4 linked regions of the Schizosaccharomyces pombe genome follow. The protein of the gene in region 4 binds, or shares a complex with, the protein of the main gene of each other region. Each region holds a gene or a part of one and is shown on either strand. Other genes may lie near its edges.

What was found.
Region 1: ker1 (region 4) and rpa2 share a complex: the UniProt entries of both Schizosaccharomyces pombe proteins name them as parts of the RNA polymerase I (Pol I) complex.
Region 2: ker1 (region 4) and rpa49 share a complex: the UniProt entries of both Schizosaccharomyces pombe proteins name them as parts of the RNA polymerase I (Pol I) complex.
Region 3: ker1 (region 4) and rpa12 share a complex: the UniProt entries of both Schizosaccharomyces pombe proteins name them as parts of the RNA polymerase I (Pol I) complex.

The regions. Positions count from the first base shown.
Region 1 is NC_003423.3:2,005,949-2,013,278, reverse strand, and holds rpa2 (DNA-directed RNA polymerase I complex subunit Rpa2), read right to left. Parts: upstream 5,194-7,330; 5' UTR 5,161-5,193; coding exon 1,636-5,160; 3' UTR 1,324-1,635; downstream 1-1,323. Other genes in the region: alp5 (Ino80, NuA4 and Swr1 complex actin-like protein Arp4), read right to left, coding at 1-217; mtm1 (Mn(2+) ion transporter), read right to left, coding at 6,304-7,311. UniProt on the Schizosaccharomyces pombe protein: DNA-dependent RNA polymerase catalyzes the transcription of DNA into RNA using the four ribonucleoside triphosphates as substrates. Second largest core component of RNA polymerase I which synthesizes ribosomal RNA precursors.
Region 2 is NC_003424.3:3,924,484-3,929,635, forward strand, and holds rpa49 (DNA-directed RNA polymerase I complex subunit Rpa49), read right to left. Parts: upstream 2,797-5,152; 5' UTR 2,778-2,796; coding exon 1,500-2,777; 3' UTR 1,050-1,499; downstream 1-1,049. Other genes in the region: sec67 (translocation subcomplex subunit Sec72), read left to right, coding at 270-848; single-strand DNA-binding protein Rim1, read right to left, coding at 3,298-3,401, 3,486-3,834; SPOM_SPAC2F3.05C (xylose and arabinose reductase), read right to left, coding at 4,326-5,152. UniProt on the Schizosaccharomyces pombe protein: DNA-dependent RNA polymerase catalyzes the transcription of DNA into RNA using the four ribonucleoside triphosphates as substrates. Component of RNA polymerase I which synthesizes ribosomal RNA precursors.
Region 3 is NC_003421.2:1,038,300-1,041,516, reverse strand, and holds rpa12 (DNA-directed RNA polymerase complex I TFIIS subunit Rpa12), read right to left. Parts: upstream 1,418-3,217; 5' UTR 1,385-1,417; coding exon 1,160-1,384; exon of another isoform or gene 915-1,159; coding exon 780-914; 3' UTR 501-779; downstream 1-500. Other genes in the region: Ino80 complex subunit Iec3, read right to left, coding at 4-143. UniProt on the Schizosaccharomyces pombe protein: DNA-dependent RNA polymerase catalyzes the transcription of DNA into RNA using the four ribonucleoside triphosphates as substrates. Component of RNA polymerase I which synthesizes ribosomal RNA precursors. Required for growth at higher temperatures.
Region 4 is NC_003423.3:3,472,140-3,476,626, reverse strand, and holds ker1 (DNA-directed RNA polymerase I complex subunit Ker1), read right to left. Parts: upstream 1,983-4,487; 5' UTR 1,899-1,982; coding exon 1,455-1,898; 3' UTR 968-1,454; downstream 1-967. Other genes in the region: sct1 (glycerol-3-phosphate O-acyltransferase), read right to left, coding at 1-613, 666-711; synaptonemal complex-associated protein hop1, read right to left, coding at 2,458-2,774, 2,822-3,047, 3,095-3,485, 3,526-3,766, 3,805-3,973, 4,018-4,165, 4,214-4,308. UniProt on the Schizosaccharomyces pombe protein: DNA-dependent RNA polymerase catalyzes the transcription of DNA into RNA using the four ribonucleoside triphosphates as substrates. Component of RNA polymerase I which synthesizes ribosomal RNA precursors.

The sequences.
Region 1 (7,330 bases), 1.5 Mb from region 4:
AACCATTACGAATTGCATTTTTTATTTCCATTCCAGGGTTTGATTTATATATGTATTCCTCACCGAACAACCGTCTGCCATCACTGAACTCTCCACAGTAGCTAGGGAGTACGCATTTGGGAATATCTTCTCCAGAAAAACCTATTCGAGTCCATTTGCTTCCAGGATCAATTACAATAGCTGAAACTTCATCTCCGCCATAAAATGCGCTAGTCATCTTACCAGCAGTACAGTTTGTCTACGTGATAAGATTCTCAGGCAAAAGTTGTCGTTGGCACTTGGACAAGACGCATCGTTGAGATCATGAAATAGGTCGCCAACGGCTTTTCTTAAAAATACCCATCACTCTTTCCTATTTTATTTAGTTGGTTTAATTAATTAAAAATAAGACTTTCATTTAGAAAAGTGTGCATTCTTTAAGCATTCATGCAACGAGAATGTCGCTAATTTTCAAGCTTTTAATAGACGCGTCAAGTAAACTAGGTTTTCAAAAATAAGCATTCATATGAAAGATTGGGCTCATAGCACAAAAAAAAACAATTGTACAAGAAATCCACAATAGTTGAAAAGATAATTATTATGCTCCTAATAAACAAATTCATTTAGTGATTTTTTGAGTTTTTTGCTATAGTCAGCTACGCAGTTTGGTATATATTTAACGATACATAGAATTACGGTGAGTTTCTCTTACGACTTACAATATAGCGGTATGCAGTATGTTAACTAACAATGTATATTTATTGTTATATGAAGTCTATTAATATCGGTTGCCGAAATAGCGTTACAGCCGAACCTCGTTCCTCAGTTCAGTTATGAGCTATATTAGTGATAGGTAACATTATAACCCAGTTAATACAATACCTATACTCAGTTGCTACTCATACAACCTGTGTATTGTAATATAATAGATCACAAGGAAAACTCACCGCAGTTCTACGTATCCTTAAATCAGATACCAAACTGCGTAGCTTACACACTATACTAAATATCGGTTATCTAATATAGTATAATGAAGCACAAAATACAATTTAGCGTGGGTTTCTGTAATTCGTCATTATGCTGCTCTTAAATGTGAACCATGCGAATAGGTATTTTTTATAATTGAGTGCATAGATTTTCTGTAGTTGAGCTGTTCTTAAAATTATAAGATATCAATTCTCTTTTCTCCATACGAATGTGTGCTCACGAATTTGCATCAGATCTCAACCTCTGATTAATCTGCTTCTTTGAACATTCGATCACTCTTTGGTATCAAGTATCTATTAACCAATATATAATACAATTTAAAGCAAAAAGACATCTAATAATAAACTTTTTCTTGTCAATTATGTCTTAGCCGCTTCTTAATCAAAAAGATAAAAATCAATCAATTTATTATTAGTCCACCTAGACCTACCTTTATAGTTTTCTATATAAGTTTTTTTATTAACTCTTCCCCCAAAACAATAAGTAATTTTATATGCAAAACGTAATCCGAAGCAAAAATCAGAAACCTGTTGCGAAAGAAAACAGAATCAAATGGAACTGAAAATACACACATCACCCATGGCATTTTGTCAGTCCTTTTAAAAAAATTTTTTTTAAAGAAGTTGAAAGCGAATATATTAATTTCAATACTCTTTTCAACACTTTAATCTATTTAACTTCAAGCATCATTTTAATATTCATAGCAGTAAGTTCCGCCGTCAAGTAATTGAAAACACTGGGTAATGCGATCAACGTAGTATTTGTGCCGCCGACAAATTTCTTTCCGCTACCATCCTGCCAAATGTCACTGGTATCTTCCAATCCCAAAGCGGGTTTGGCACAGCTTCTGCACCTGACTTCTGAGGCACTTCCTACGCCATTCATCGAAATTGTAGACATGATAGAAATAATAGACCCACAATCTCGACAAACCCAGCTCTGGGCATAATCAGAACAATTCATTAAACGATCCTGCATCAAGAACGATGTGCCATGACCGATAACAGCATCACGTTCCATTTCACCGAAACGAATACCACCAGCACGTTTGCGACCTTTGACGGGTTGACGAGTAAGATTATGAATGGGTCCGGTTGTACGTACTTGAAATTTATCACTAACCATATGGCGAAGACGTTGATAGTAGACAACTCCAATATAAATATCAGCCTTCATCTCCTGTCCTGTGATACCACTATACATAGGCTCGTTTCCATGATAGTTGTAACCAGCCTTAACCAATTGTTCGCCAAAGTAGTCAGCAGCAGTTTGCTGCTCAGAATAGATAAAGGGTGTGCTGTCTTGAGCCAAGCCATGGCAGGCGCCAGCTTTACCAGCTAAACTTTCAATAAACATACCAATTGTCATACGAGAGGGGAACGCATGAGGATTAATAATGATATCAGGTTGCATTCCGCTTTCTGTAAACGGCATATCGACAGTGGGCCACTTTTGTGAACAAATACCCTTTTGTCCATGTCTAGAGGAAAATTTGTCACCAATAATCGGACTACGGGTAATACGAAGCTTAACATGAATTTGCTGACACTCGGAATCACCAACATCATTACCAAGGAGTCTAACTTCGTCAACAAAACCAGGCTCAGTACCGTGATAGGTTTCAATAAAATTTTGACCAGTAGATTCATCATAGTAAGCGACAATGGGATCTCCATCCTCAAGTTTAATTCCAATAAAAGGTAACCCGTCGGCGTCTAACTTTTGCAACCATTCGCGACGAGGCGTTGAACCGGGAGCAAAACCAAAATGGTGAACGACTGGTTCACCTCTGCGACGCTTTTGGGAAAGGTCAAAAGATTCACCCTTATATACAGTACCATAACCAAAACCACGCTCATGAGCAGATTTATTCAAAATCATAGCATCTTCCATATCGTAACCAGTGTATGAGATAACGGCAACAACAGCGTTTGTACCATTTGGATAATGATCGAGGCCATAGGTATTGTGAAGCTTAGGACGAACAACTGGTGTTTGTCCTGTTTGAAGACGATAAAGTTTGTTGTCAGTACGATAACGAAGGGCCGTACCAGGCGTACCCATAGTTTGTTTACCCATCTGACATTGATACATGTTACGAGGAGACTGGTTAAAGTCTGAGAATGGAGTCATATTGGCAACGATGGAGAGTACATTTGTGGGCGAATACTCTACATGAGTAGAAACTTTAGGAACGATTTCTTTAGGGAAACATGCAATATCCATGTAAACTTGCTCAAATGGACCAAGCATATCAAGTTCACCAGTAGAAATGTGCTTAACCGGTCGAACCATCCTTGCAGGATTGCTAAACAGATAAAGACCTGGATATTGCCCGTTATGAGACGGAGGCACATATCCAATTTCCAAATCTAAAGGGACCTTAGCAGGTTCAGTGGCAGTTCCATTACGCAACTTGACAGCATATTCAATTTTCATTAAACGTAGCACATCAGCAACGTGCTTAGCAAGTTTGTAAGTACACCAACCAACAATCTTTCCATCCAATTGTACGCATCCCCAACCAGATTCATGACCAACTACACTTGGAGGATCAACACCCAACGATAGCAAAAGTGATGGGATTTGACTTACATCAGAAGGATGGGTGACAATTTCACATTTTCTAGCCAAATGGTTTAAAAGACCACATGGAGAACCATCGGGTGTGTGAACTGGACACATGAAACCCCAAGCTTCAGGAAGCAATTTACGGACAGTAGTAGTTTTAAGCTCAGCAAAAAATGCACCACGGTGTACCATTCGAAAATGTGAAAGAAAGCGGTAGAAGTTCAACTTCTCGGCGACAACAGTGTAACCTGTAGCTTGTTGTAAATCAAGACCAGTATTGGAAACAAGGTTACCGGTACTCAAGAAATATTGTAATTTCGTTCCGATGTCATTGTTAATTTTAGAAAAGACACGGGTCAAGTATTTACGATCGGAGAAATCAACACCAGGCGCTGAGCGTCGAACATCCAAATTAATTTGAGCGCGGATGCTATTTAGCCAATCCTCAATCTTCTCCTTAAGAATTTGACCATAAAGAAAACCACCTAATAAAATTTCCTGATGTTGTGGAGAGTCAGGGTTATCGGCACAGCACTCTCCAGCTACAAGTGCATATAACTTGCGGATCATAAATAGGAGAAGGCGGAATTTATCCTTAGCTTCACGAAGGTGAACTAAAACAACCTTTTGTAAGAGAAAGCGGCCAACTTCAACATCAGTTAGGTCTTCAGCAACGCCGAGAACAACACGAAATTTGCTACCCAAATACTGAAGTGTTTCAGTTTGGGAGTAAAGACCATAGGACTTATAAGCTCTAAGCATAAGCTCAACACGATCCGTCAAGAAAGTATTTCCCAAATCTTTACCAACAATGCCCTCAAAAATTTCTTTATCGCTGGTTTCTAACAGGGCCTTAAGAATCATCATCGAAGGAATTAAATATTCGTTTTTACGCCAGTGAAAACGAAACATCGTAACACCATTGTTAAGATAATGAAGGGTGTTGGTTAAACTAGACTGGTCTGGACGGACACAACGAATAGATAAACCATACTGTGAGTAGCTAGTACCACGATTGGCAAAAGAAGGGCGAATGATGGCAGTAGGATGATTGCGCTTAGGTAAAATTAACATACGAATCAACTTCTCAATACCGTTAACGATAAAGTAACCGCCCATCTCTTCGCTCTCCTCTTTATGAGCAATAAGTTCGGCAGGAGACAATCCTTCCAGATGACATCTGTTGGACCGTACCATGATGGGAATCATGCCTACTTCACGCATTTCTGATTGTCTAGGGCCTCCATTGACACTCCATGAGAATTTAAGAACCAATCTTGATTTATAAGTAGTCAAACGCTCTCTGGCTTCAGCAGGGTAGACTTTGCGGTTAATAGAAGACCTTTCACGACTAGACAACATTGGCTTCGCAATTTGAACCTCATCAACGCGGAAGGAAATCTTATTTCCAAATTTCAATGCACCACCTTCTTCTTGTGTGATCGAGTCAAATGCACATTTCTCACCAATTTCCTTAACAGCATAGTTGAGTAGTCCGGCATTAGTAAGGGCGTTAAAGGAATCAACATGAGGTTTTACGGCCTTTTGCAAATCTGGAAAGCTCGTTCCGTCCTTGGGCGGATTTTTAAACGTCCTTTCTCGCTCTAACGTTTGGAATGACATCCCAGGTTTGCAGAGAAAATTTTGGCGGAGGACACCTGCTATATTCATACTAAATTGAGCGTTAAGCGAACACTTAACAAGCTTTAATGAAAAGCGGTAAAATGGTTTAAACATTAAGGCGCTGAAGTGCGGAATATGCAATAGTATAGCGTTGTTCATTCCACTGCCTAATTCAATTCTAATAGTAAATCGCTTTTTGGGTAGTGTTCTTGCTTGATTTTATTAATGAACGACTATCCATTGTCTTTGAAGAGTAATAGAAAAGGTAAAGTGTTATCGAAAGTGTACTCACTGTACGCTGACAGATAAGTTGGTGATCGACGCTACTAATATTTGATTTATACCGCAATTGAAGCTATAAAGAATTTGTTTATTGATATTTTAGAATGTCTCCTGCAAGTCCTTACTTGTTGCTTATCTCAGTAAATTCAAGAAGAAAAGCTTAAACACAAGTAACCATTGCCCTGTTACAGTTCATATCACCGATCAGTTGAATGAAACCTAATAAATATTTAATTTGCTTTGTCTTAGTATCTTAAAAAAAATCTTGTTAAAGGGCTTTTTTTTATCACTTTCAATATTTATTTTAGAAATAATTTCGTTATATACGATTCTAGTCTAGTCAATTCATATAAAATAAACGGATAACAAAAGCTCCCACTTTAAAAATCGCTTTCTTCAAAGATCTAAACTTTTTGGCCCGAGCTGTTTCTGCTTTTCAATAACGGAAAAGAAAAACATTGAATAAAATATATGTATCCTCAACCATTGAAAAAGCTTTTAAAAAGAACAACAATGGGTATATAATGAAAGCATTAGCTTCAATGTCTGGTAAAAACATAGCAAGCTTGTTCTACTATGGCTTTATTTTAGAGACTAATATCAGAAATTAAAAAATATTAATTTTTAGTTTCTACGCTTCGTAAATTAACCCAACCTATTTTACTTTCAAGACTCTTTCGATTTGCATTTTTGAATCCTGTATTATAGTAAACATATAGACTACAAATAGAAATGGAGTTGCGAGAGGGGAATTATCAACATAAATGGAATCCTGTAAGAAAAGAGATGAAAACATTAAACCGAAAAAAAAAGAACAAAGGTTTCATCAAGCCAACCAAAACCTGAAAATCAACGTCTAAATTAATAAGCATCAACAGACTCAGAAAAGTACTTTTTAGTTAAATGATAACTTGAAATCATGATTGCACAGGACGGTGCAACTTTAACACATCTAGGCAACGTGCCTTTCCACAAGGCCTTGGGACCACCTCGCTTCCATAAGGTTAACATAAACTGACCTCTGGTTAACGTATGTCCATGCACCTGCTTAGCAGTTTTTGATACATCGAAAGGTTGAGTTAATAGGGTTGCTAGAGTCCCACTAATTCCTCCGCTCACAAAATTGATATAGAGGTCCTTTGTAGATTGAGAGCTGGAAAATGCTTGAAGTGATGGATGCCCAAGCAGGAAGAGTCGAATTCTCTCATACGACCACCAGTAAAATGCACTGAATGGTACATCTCTCCACAACGTTACGCTGACACCGCTCCATAAATTCAGTATACCTTTTTGATGAATCATTAATTTCAATCCATCAAAGACCTCATTAGCAATCTCGCGCGCATGGCCGGGCGGATAATGGCCGCCTACTGCTTGCACTCGAGTCCTGAATAATTCTATAGGAGACACAATAGTAGCAGATATTGTGCGCGCAGATGCTCCTGCGATTGCAGCAGCAGCAGGAAAGCCCCAATCACTGTATAAGGGAAGTAATTGCTCATACCCAAGAAACTGTACAGTGTTTGCTGGCAAGAGCATTGTCAATGAAGGAACTAATCCACGCCACAAGCTTCTAACACCTTCATGCCGAGCGATCTGATAAAGTCCGGATACCGGGCCTCCTAAAGGCTTTGGAGCTGGCCTTCCCTTCCCCAATATCTTTGCTGAAGAAATGGGTTGCGTAGAAGAATATTGAGAAATAGATTCACTCTGCAAGCGGGTTTTCACAACATCTAAAGGCGTTACAGTCAGCGTTGTAATTACACTTCCTACACAAGCTGACAGCATTTTCGCTATAGGCTTCACATCGGGCTCAGCATTCACCGACAAGTCAGCTTCTACGCCTTCTGTCGCAGCTCCTATCTGCATGTATTCTCTCTGACTCTGT
Region 2 (5,152 bases), on a different chromosome or scaffold from region 4:
TGTATTACCTGCTTTTTGCAATATTGCAATATAATAGATCATAAAGCTCATTGCAGTTCTACACATCGTTAAAATTAAATAACAAACTGCGTAGTTAGTATTTATGTGTGTTAAAGTATTGTGACACGTTCTGCTAACACTTTCAAGTTTACTACTTGCATTGAACATTGCTTGTCTTCTCTAAATTATTTGTACATAATAATCCATCCGAGCTTTGTGCTTTACATTAAGAGCAGCTTCACTACTTCTTCTTTTAAAACTTTGCTTCGATGGTTGCTAAACAAGAATCGGTGGTTGCACCTCAAGTTGATGTGTCAAAATGGAGTGGGAAGGAATTGGAGTTGGGCAAAAAGGTTAATGAATACGCCAAGTCATTAGCTACGTTTAAATATCCTTTTTTTATTCCACCTCCCTATCCTCCTGCTAAGCCAAATATGGCCTTGTCTACCCAAGTTAATAAGATGAAGCAAACTGCAAACGAGGCATTTAAACGCAAAAAGTATGAGGAGGCAAAAAAGTTATATGGATTAGCATTACAACTCGCTTTGAATCGCTGTACTTGGGAACCGTCGATTCTTACGCGTGAAGAAGCAAGTGTTATGTTGTGTAATCGGGCGGCTGCTGAGATTGCCCTTTCCCAATTCCCCGAAGCTTTAGCAGATGCAAATGCTGCTTTGAAAATTCGAAATAATTATGGAAAGTGTTATTATAGGAAAGCAAAGGCTTTGGAGGCAATGCATCGCATAGAAGAGGCTAAACAGGTTGTACGAGACGGTTTAATTTTGGCAGAGCCAGTTACGAGAAACGAGTTGGTGGCTTTATGGGCAAGTTATACTGAAAAAGATTAAAACCAACTGTATCATGGTTTCAAATGATCATTGGATTTGCACGCTCCTTTTATTTCCTTTCTTTGTGTTGTTTCATATTACCATAAACACTTACGGCCACATAATTAATCCATTTCAAAATTAATACTAACTTGATATTATTGCCAATTCATTTAATGCTCAGGTGATTGTAGCAATTACTGTATACAAAAGACCATCCCCTAGCACATCATAAATACGGTGGTTTTGAACATGAATCTAAGTTTCGATTGTCATTTGTTACCCTATAGTCAAACAACAATGTTATAACTTTCCAAAGGATTTATTGAGTAAAACGGTAACTTTTTTGCTTGAAAGTTAGTTACCATCTAAGTCACCCTTCTTTGCCTTATAGCAAAAGTATTATACAATGCAAAATTTTATTATTTTCTGTACTTCCACTATAATAAAAAAACACCTTTAATCCCGTATTCCCATAAGAAGTTTCTGAAAATTTGTTGGTACTTTATTTGGATATCTCAATGTCGCTTTGACGTCCAAAACAATTATAAGCAGTGGAGATATCGAACATCACGAACTTCAGTAGTTGTTTCTTCTATATATACCGTCCTTCTTTTTTTTTAAAAAAACACACACACATTTTTTTGAAAATAAACAACGCTGTACTTTTCTCTAATTTCTAGCGCGTCCACGTCGAGGTTTAGGGAACTCTAGGGGAATTTTTAATACTGCACGCTTATGATTTTTAGCATCAGTTTTGTTAAGACCTAAAGCCATTCTTTGAGTTTCGGTGTAAGCCATAATTCGACAACCCACCGTTCTAAAAAGCTCATTAGCCTTCATGGTCTTGACATTCAAGTCATTTGCCAAGGTAAGAACATCAGTTGAGTAATTATCAACGATTAAGCACAATACCAGAATATAACATATGATTTTATCAACTTCTCGAGATGATACTTGGACGCTACCAATACCGGTGGTTTGAGTAAAACGTTTAATCAACCCATCAATAAGAATCTCTGGTGGATCAGCCAATTTTTTACGTAAAGTTTCACGGTTGCCCACAGAACGACGAGAAAACAAAAAAGCTTGCAAAAGAGAAATGTAATACAAAATTCTCGCCCGCTTCTGGTCAACCTCCTCAATGGAAAGTAATCGCTGGAAGCGTTCATTAATAAACAAGGAGTGACGGTACGGCAATAATTTGGCCCAATTGCGCTCGTCAGGGTTTTCTAACAGAGGCTTAATGTAAATAGCTGAAAACTCTTCTTTGGGAATAATGTCCTCCAATTTGTATGCATCTTCAATGGATTCAGCACCGACATTGACAGGAGGAATAGGGCGATCTTGCGCTTGAGCAGCAGCGATATCTTCTTGCGTTGGAAGTGCTTCAGTAGCTTTTTGAACATTACTAACCAATTGATCCTTGACATCTCCCAAAGTTTCAGCTTTGACACGATTGGCGGACTCTTCCATAATAGCTTTTTGACTTTTTCTTGTACCAAATGCCAAACCCAAGTTGGCACGCTGTTCCATAACAGTACCGCTTACAGTTCCATGCTTCTTTTTCAAAAATTTGTCCTTCTCCTGAAGTGCCAAAATATTTCTTTCAAAAGTATTAAGATACTTTGCTGGAACAATCTTTTTTACACGACCAGTTTTATCAGCAACAGCTAAACAGTAATTTGCCTCAACCGTAGCCGTTGATTGATTTTTAGCCTCAAATTGAACACGCTCTGTCCTTCCAATTAACGACGCATCTCTGTTGCTCTGATTGCTCTTTTTGAGAAGCTGGAACCGGGTATTTTCGGGTGGATAAAATCCGGAAATTGTCGTGACAAGTGGTGGTAAACTCGATTCACTCAAAGGCAATATCTTAACGGATTTTTCATCACCGGAATGGGAATCTCTATATTTCCGCTTCTTGCCCTTTAACTCGTCACCTGCCATTCCAATAGTGGATGCTGTTGGTAAAAATGCTAGCGCTTAAAGAGCTTTGCTTGTTTGACGAAGTGTAGTGTACAGTCACAGAGGCTGCGAAATCTAACTTAACGAAGTTTGAGGATCAGTCATTAAATGAAAAGAATTAAAGAAACTGAATATTACAAATCGTAGAGTACACTTTAAAATAAAAAAAAATGATTATTAATTTACTGTAAAGGACTAACAAATTTGTCACTTTGAAAAAGAAGGAGTAAAGGTGACTAAGTAATTCCTAGAACGCAATGAAAACATTACAGCAGAGACATTATTGTCTATAAAAACAAATCAGAAGAGCCATGGGTAGATTATTTCCAGCGGAATAATGAAATAAACATCAAATGAAAAATACATAGCAATACCAAGTATGTGCATAATGCAGAGAAAATGAATTAGGAGACTTTTTAAACTCAATAATCCCTAGAAAAATACCACCCAAATATATTAACGGTCTAAAGTGCAGAAAATTTTTAAACTAGAAACACGAATTTTAGAAGCTGTTAATCATAGGATCTGCGTCTAATTCAGGATGAGTCTCTTCTCCGGATTCATCGCCATTTTTGTTACGAGGATAAAATAAAACGTCTGCAGATACTAATAAGAGAGGTTAGTAAATACTATATTCTGTTTTCAAATTTTGCTTCAGGCTTCAACTTGGACCATTGCAATGTTGCGTACCATGTCGCAGGCTCATTTTCGCTTGAGATCCTTCATTTCCAGCTGGGACGGAACGCCAAACAGCATCGGCCTCCACATAAACACGCGTTCCCTTCCTTAAAATAGTTTGAAGTCTGTCGAAATTGTAACTATCGAAAACATAAACCGAGTGAAAGGTAGGGGCTACGTCTTTTCCATTATTGGAAGCTACAGTATAACGCATATATTCGTTTCCTTTTTGAGACTGCAAACGCTCAACGTCTTTTGTTAAATTGCCAGTCAATGTCAAACGTTGAATATCTCTATAACGAACAGTCGATGAAGAAAACAGTCGTTTGGAAAATGCTCTGCTGGATTTTAAGAATAGCATGTTTTTAGTACCTTGAGCTCACAGGAAAGCAATTAATGGAGTCTTATTGTGTGGTGTTGTGGATGAGTGAAGTGCGCATACGTCGCATATACGAAGCGAAAAGTACTTGGAGAAGTGTGTGAATTGATAAAACCAAAGTTAGGGTAGAATTTGCTTTTAATTAGCTACATAGTAAAGAGTCTGAATATATTTCTACCCAAAATGAGCCATTTCCATGAGGTACTTTAGGTTTCTAATAAGTTTACGATACATTATGCTAGCATTTACAAATCAATGGAAGTAATACGAATTTTCTAATCTATGATCGTATATGATAAAAGTAATATCGGATTCATACTAATTCATACTAACAGTCATTGGATGCATGTTTGGTATATAAGCTGACATAAATTGAGTTTCGTAAATTCTATCATACTAGCATATCTAGGGATAGCAGAGGAAATAAATAATAAAATGCATTCTCTGCTCTTACAAGACGATCATTTAACATATTATAAAGGGGAAACGCATGGGTTCCAATCCGAATGATAATCCTCATCCAAGTTGTAGAGCTTCTCCATATCCTCTTTAGATATTTCGAAATCGAAAACGTCGCCATTCTCTTTGATCCTCCTGGGAGTAGAACTCTTGGGAAGTACAATGAATCCACGCTGTAGACAGTATCTAATCATGATTTGAGCCTCAGACTTGTTATACTTGCTAGCAATGGCGAGAAGTTGCTTGTTGCCAAACTTTTCACCATGAACAAGAGGAGCGTAGGCAGCAAGTTGGATACCCTTGGATTCACAGTAATCGACGACTTTTTGTTGGGAGCAAAAAGGGTGAAGTTCGATTTGATTGACACATGGTATAATCTTTGGATGGCTGTCCAACAATTCCTGGATGTGATGAGGACCAAAGTTGGAAACGCCGATAGCACGAAGTTTTCCCTCTTCAACACCTTTCTCCAACGCCTTCCATGATTCAATACGATCACCATAGGGAGAGTGAAGAAGAAACAGATCAATATAGCCAAGGCCACATGCCTTAACACTGGCATCAATACTGCTCAAAGTAGATTTGTACCCACTTAAATCATTAAGCTTGCTAGTGAACCAAATATCCTCTCGTTTCGTACCAGTCTCTTCCATGAACTTAAGGATGGCTCTTCCACAGTCAGCCTCGTTGTGATACATCTGAGCCGAATCGATGTGTCGATATCCGCATTGAAGGGCAGCATACACCGAATCGAAGCATTTTGTACGATTCACCATGTAAGAACCGTAAGCAAATTGAGGGCACTTAAGTCCATTGTTTAACTTAACAAATGATCCCAACA
Region 3 (3,217 bases), on a different chromosome or scaffold from region 4:
TACGCATTTTCTAATAAAATTCTGCGATAAACTTCTGATATTTCAGCAATCTTTTGTTCAATTTCCTCTGTTTCAAGGACTACCGAATCAAATGACTTTCGAAGTTTTAAATATTTTCGTTTAAAGGATTTAACAGACGCCATATGTGAAAAGGCAGGTGAGAATATATTTCAAATGGTTGAACACCTACCTGCCCATTTGGGCTCTTGAGTGTTACGGTACATAGTACGCTCCATTTCGTTACACATTCATTTCCATATTAGAGAAAAAGAAATAAATAACCGATATACTACTATTCATAAAATGCTGATAAACATTGAAACTCAAACTCTTTAAAAATTCTGAGAAAGGAAGTATCCACAGGTTCAATCGTGATAGACAATGAATTTTCTCTATTTAGTTTGAACCAGGAAAGACAATAATGAATAAAGGAATAAGTTATACCATATTATTTTTTAAACAAAAAGTAACCCCGAAAAATAGAACCAACAAGAACAGAAGAACTGTTATTTTTTTTAACACCTGGATAAAATAGAAGACAAAACAAGAAAATCGGATATCAAGAGCATCTCTTTCTATTTCATGAACGTTGCCGTATTACTAGACAAATAAAATTTATCGAGCATGAAAATAACGGAAGCAGAAGGACAATCGAAGATATTAAAAACAATAGTCTTCATACAAATCAGTCAGCATACATACATGAAGAACGGCGTAAGAAACAGTGAAATATTGAGAAAATCACAACCAAAAGAATGATTAACAGATGAAAACTCAATCTAATTGTTTGTACTAAATTTATAAGCACATCGAGGACATTCGTAAAACACCGTAGAACCTTCATCAGCAGACCTCAATTGCAAAGTATGGAAAGTCATATGGTCGTTTCCACATTTTGGACATTTTTCCTCAATCTACAAAACTTTGTTAGTATGGCAATAAACCCAAAAAAGGACTATGATAAAGTCCTTTGCCTGACTGTGCCGATTTTTCAATTCACTGGATATATGATACAAAAAAGTTCCTTGATTAGACTCTCCTAATGCATTCTTAAAAAAAAAAAAGTTTTCCAAATGATACAAAGCCTAAAAGGAAAGAAGAATGACAACCAACATGAAAAAAAGGATTCGAAAAGAATAGACAAAAATAAGTTACATACCGTTGCTGCCTCCTCCTTCTGAGATTCTACTTGAACGATACTGTGCTTGAGTTTTAAAGCAGAAGGAAAAGCACTTGCACTACTCTTCGTTTCCACTACCAAATTGGCAAATTGCTCAGAAGGATAAACGGATTGACACTGATCACAAGTAGTCCATTGGGCAGTAGTCGATTCCAACAAGTTACCGCATTCTGAGCAAAATATCAAAGACCCTATTGCCGACATTGGGATTCCTCCTTGCTTGATGGGGAAGGCACTGGTGTTTATGACAAGCTAGTTTGTCTTTGACAAGTGCAATTTTCTTTCGCTGTAACTCATTATTTTGCGGTAAGTGATGGAAAAGCGAGTGTATCATTATCGTAAAAGCCAATACACACTGTGAGCGACTATGATCAGTATAGTGCCTTAATTAGTAAACAATAAGCTAGAGATGAGTAAACGAATTTCCTGATCTATTGATGAACATTATGCTAAAGGCATAAATTACAGACATTTAAAAATCATTCGTTTTTGTAAAGAAATTACTTATTGATAAATCAACCTTGGAATTCCAAGTTGGGGAATTTAAAAAGCTTTCTCGGGAAATTTCACCTATATAAGTATTGTATCGTTGTTTCTGGAAAAAATTCGGTAAGAAAAATTTCTTTGTATTTTTTCAAGCATCAACTAATTGTTTGAAGCTATTTCTTGCTACTTTAAAATTTTGTTGCCCAAACGATTTTTGTCTAGCTGGGCAATACTTTGTTCAAATACAAAGCCTGTCACGGAATACAGAACAAGATTTGTGTACATATATACTAGCGACTTTCAAAATCGTTGTACCTTATAAATTGTGCTTTTGATTATTTAACAAATTCTTCCTTATCTCAAAAGAAAATTATTTTGCTTGATTGAATCATCAATTTGGAAATCATATTTTGCACTTTAGGTATTTTAATCGTAATTTATGTGATAAGCTTGGAAATAATAAAAAATATAAGAATAATAAAAATTTAATTTGTCTGTACGTTGCAACTATTACATGTACAACAGAAAAGCGAACAGATAAATAACAAAATGCAAAAAAAATACTACTAAATAAAAGAAAAAACAAATAAATTCAAAAGATATAGCATTAATAAGAAAAGAGATCACCAAAAAAAAAAGAATCATATTCACGATTTCAATAAAAAGGTCTGTGTATTTTCTACAAAGGATTTGGCATTATACTTACTATTATGTGTTTTCCACTACTTGAGCGTTTCAAATCCATTATGGTTTTGAAAGCGCCTTTGTCTATAACCGCCATAACCCAGTCCATCTGTATAGGGCTCGCTTCCGTATTCCTATATTATGCAATGTAAGGTTGATTTTCTATTTTGGTAAAACAGAGATGAATATGGCATGTTTTTACTAGTGAGATTATTGTGCTGTACCCGACGATTGACAACAGTGGGACTTGTTTGCTCTAGTTATTTAGAAGCAAAAATTTTTTTCCTCATATCTCTCTCTCTTTCTGGGGTAGTCCTTTTTGGAAGAGTGCAACGTGACATAGTCTATGGGATTGTAGGCAACAAAAATGTATAGGAAGAGTTATTGTTGCTACATAATGGAAATTACTTAGTGAGTACCATATCTTGTCGGTGAAAATGGATATTTACTTTGCCGATCATTGCGTAGCTCGGTTTTTGCCAAGGAAAGAAACAAGTAAACCAGTTTGGTAAAGAAAAAGGATGATAAAAAAGGTTAGAGATTTTAAGCGTATCTAAATAAAGGTAAGATACTTTAAAAGTACGTTAAAATCTGTGTCTTGTAAAATTTCCATTTGTAGAATTGTTGCATAAGGATGGAGTACCACTGCTTTAGTATAGTTATACGTAACCATGAGTTGGTTGTCTGTAGGACATAGCGAGAAGATTGAAATTGCTATACGTAGTATTTTAGTGTTTTTGGTTAACTTGTTAATAGACGTTTTTTTCTATTCTTTTTTCTCTTTCGTTGCTTAGATGATTAGTGAGTTGTTCATTGCTTTCTTTGAATTTAAAAGGAAAATAAAAGGGTATAACACAGTATTCATCA
Region 4 (4,487 bases):
AGCGGTAGCATTTCAGGACGATCGTGAGATCCACCTTCAGGGAATAGAGCAATGCATGCACCCTTCACCAGACGTCTACGGACTTCATTATAAACATATGTTTGATCAATCTCAGGAGCCACCTTGTAAGACGACCCTTCGGGAGAAAGCAAAACTCTCTCAGCATCTTCTCCACGAAACTCACGTTTAACATATAATAAGGTATCACTTTTAATGGATGCTATATGAGAACTTCCATAATTATTAGGAAGAAGGAGAGTATCACCGACTGAATGCTTTGTAAACAGAGTATCTTTTCCGTGAATAGCAGTCTTATCACCTTCAGCTACGACAAATATCTTTCCTTCTCCGCGAATAGCTAAATCTTGCGCCCTTTCGACAGGAATTGCACCAAAAGCTCTCGACATGAGGCCAATAAATCTTTGACGATAACTTTTAGCAGCAACCAAAATGGAAGTCCTCCTACCTACTTCTCTACGAAGTTGTAACATCAAAATCAAAGGATCTACGAATTGGTTCGCATGCGGCGCGGCCACTAAAATTAGAGGTCCCTTGCGAGGAACTCTAAAAGAGCCTCGCGTTTTAACTTCACGGAAAAAGAAATCGATTAAAACTGGGGTTCATTAATTAGCGTTCCGGTTGTAACTAAATGATAAGTAACTTACTTGATAAAATCCATAAGCACGTATCATAAATAAAGGTATGTTGCATTATAATTGAGTGAACGAACCCGTCTTCAGGGTTTCAAGTAAGATTAAACGATACTAGTAAAATAATCGTGAGTGTTTGGGAGGGGCCTCCTGGGTAATTCTAATAAGGTCTACGTAAAAAAGTAGGTCTCACTATATAGTACGCTGAAGTTGTATAAGGCAACGCGTTGTTTCATTAGATAGTTATAAGTCACTAAGATATACATGTTAATATCAATCGACATAAATCAGTATTAGTAGAAACATTAAAGATGTGATGTGAAAGAAATAGTATATTAGGATTCACAGAGTATTGATTTGAAAGATTGAGTTTAGTAATTGATCTCGCCATGATCTTTGTTAAATTGTTATTTAACAATTATTTGTGACAACAATTTCGACAATAAAGCCTATATTAAAAAAAAAATCAATTAAACTATGGGATAAACAAGAATTTAATGATGAATTTAAAATCTTTAAGCATAATCTGATACTTGCAACTGAGAATGAATGGATAAGGACTTACAAAATATGCAAACTCAAGTACTGCGAGTAAAAAAGTTGCATTGTAGTTGTCCTCAAACACATGATCAAAAAAAACCTTAGGATTTTTTCTCTCACGTTTAAAAGATTTAATAAATAATCGCAGCCAAAAAACCCAATTTTTTTAATGAAGCGCAAACTATATTCGAAAGCTCATATGATGTTTTAGAAATCGAACAAAATAACTGAACCACAAATAATCAACACACCTTTAAATTTACTCTAACTCTGTTCTTTTTCCCCTACACCTTGAGTCGTATCCGCTTTGGCCTTACGAGCCTCTTCCTTTTCCCGTCTCGCAGCCTTCTTTTTTTCCTTTTTTAGACGCTTTTTGGTTTCTTTATCCAAATGCAAATCATCGTTCTCTTCCCTTGCATGTTTCAGACTTTCCTCTTCCTTGGTTTCCAACATTTCTTCAGGTGGTATTATTAATTCCTCTGTGGGAGGGCCTTGGACAGGTAAATTTAAAGAAATAAGCGGTATCTCTTCTCCTTTCAGGTACATCAAGACTCTATTTAACTGGGATAGAACACTCTCACTTCCAGATTTTTCATCTTGGAAGCGCTCAATCGTTTGGATGTAGCGATTGAGAAATTTACTAGACGCGTCTTTGTCTAGCTTTTCAGACTTTCGCAAAATCATTTTAGGTGGACATTCTGTCGCCATGTTTAAAACGAAAATTCTCCTGAATAATGCAAAGTTCTCACGAACACAGCAATAATGTAACTTCAGTATCAAATGGAAAAGTTCAAGTCTAATGTGTAACGTTCTATACTTTTTTTTTTTGACATCAAATCACCACACTATTCACACATAATGCAATTCAAGAAGTGCTTAAATTAGCTACGCAATTTCGTATTCGTTTAGCGCTGCGTAGAACTGCGATAAAATTTACTTGTGATCTAGTTTATAGTGGTATGCATGATTCTTGTATGAAGTCTATATTCATATCTCATGTTCGTATAAGCTCATAACTGAACCTCATTCCTCATTTCAATTACCGCCTATTTATAATGTCGTAAGCATAGTTATCTACGACAAGAAAATGAGTTTGTATGAATATTGTCTCATATCTAACGGATGATAACAGAACATGTTATTTATGGTAATAATGTAGTATAGCTAATAATAAATATATTATGTAAGTTTAAATTAATAGTTTGAGCAAATAGATGCAATACTGATCCATCTCAAATTGTTTGAAGATAGGATAAGTCGTATAAGTTTAAATCCTCAGAGGTTTCATGGTGTCTGTCTCTTTAGTGTTTGAAGTCTTAGAAACCTTTTTTGGTCTTTCTATTACTTCCATTCTTTCGGGCCGTAGAAAAGATCGCATATTTACACGTTGATTCTCTTGACGATAATTTTGAAAATTCAGATGAGATATCCATCGCGACGGTGTAAAATACTTCTCACGAAGATATGACACCATTTCAGGGCTTTTATTCGTAAAATATATCCATTTTCGTTTTTTTTCCTTATAGATTATGTTTTCGTTAACTAATCTTTCTTCAATTCTTTTGGCATCAGCATAGCTGCAATCTTAGATAATGTTAGTATATGGTCAATGAGTTGGTAAATTTCCTTACTCAGTCGCGCCGCTAGCTTTTGGAACCCTTGATACTCTGACGCCCAAATACACCGAATTGCTCGTCTGTATGCGACCAACATGGTCATTCGGTCATACAAACTAGATTCAGAATCAACTAACAAACATGTATAACATAACAATTGGTTTGGTTGGCGAGGATCAGAGTCACTCTCAAATCCATAGCAAGCACAGTGAACCCATCCATCACATCTTTCGCATTGAAACTGTGTAAAATATTGTTAGTCTTTAGCAGGTATAAACGATTACACACCATTTCTGAGTCTTCCGTCGAATCACCGCATTCACAATTCAAAAGTGCTTTTTTCTTTTCGGCTTTGTCAACTTTGTCACTCCCTGAAATGTTTTTTTTTAACCAATTGCTTTTCTTTACTTCTTCACAAGGATTGTTATTTTTTATTTCCCTTAATCCACGACTTTCATTCTGCATTTTCTCACATTTTCCTTGACTCAAACTTTTTTCAACTGATTGTTCATCCAATATTTGAGTTGAGCCTATTTCATCGTATTTCAAAGGCTGGAGGAACTTTTCGAGCTGAGAATCAATTTTTTCTTGAGAATCAAATAATGATGATTCTTTATTAATCATGATCTTCTCTGTACTTATCGGTACAAATGCATGAGAACAATGTGAAATCGCAATACTATAGATTAGTAACTTGAAATTTGTTTTAATTTACTTACCCATTGTTTGATTCATAAAAAGATACAATATCTTTGAATTCTCCTCGATTGAGCCAAGACATGCAATCTTTTGTTTCTACGGTATTTAAAAACACGCCAGCTTTAGTTGCTTCTCCTTTTGATAATTGAAAGCGTTCCATTTTTGTAATAATTTGTACGACTTTTTCTTCGTCTTTGCACTCTGTTTTTACGTTACCACTTAAAAATAACTTTATTACAAACCTTTCTGAACGTTGATAAGCTTGATAAAACTCTCATGAAGTCTGTTAAAAAATTTACAAACAAAAGACTCACAACATATTTTCTCTTCACTTCCAGGGTTAATTGTAAATGAAAATATCTCCTTTTCAACCGCGTCATCCTCTAATATTGACTTGCATTGTGACGAAATAATCAGGTAAACAGTAAATGGAACTTTCATTGATACAAGTGAGAAAATATAAGTTTTCTAAAATATTAGTTTATTTCTTTAGATAAGTTTTAAACACTCACCATCATTTCCAAAAAACTGTCTGCTTCTTTGTCCACTCCAGCTTGTAAAGAAACCACAGTAGGTTTCAATTGACAATCAAAGTCAGCTCCTTTAAAATGTTCAATTTCGAAATTGACTTTCTTGTAGCAGTTTTCATTGAAAAGAGCACTTGCCTTCTGTTAGCTATTTTAATTTAAAAATTATATGTCTGCGTACCGCTTATAGCATAATGTTGATATCGCGAAGAAAATTAAATTTTTAAGAGTAAAGTCAGACTTAGTTTGCAGAATTTCCTCTTTGTATGAATTCATTTGTCATTTATACTTAGAAGTAAAGGGTATTTGATAAGTTGATATCTATATATGGTAATTTTGTGAACGCGTCGAACGCGTCTTAAGTGTACGTATATTACAGTCCCACCTGTGGTTTTCCAACACTTTAAACTACACTAAAATGGCTTACATAGATAAATGGAATGCGAAAAGCATGT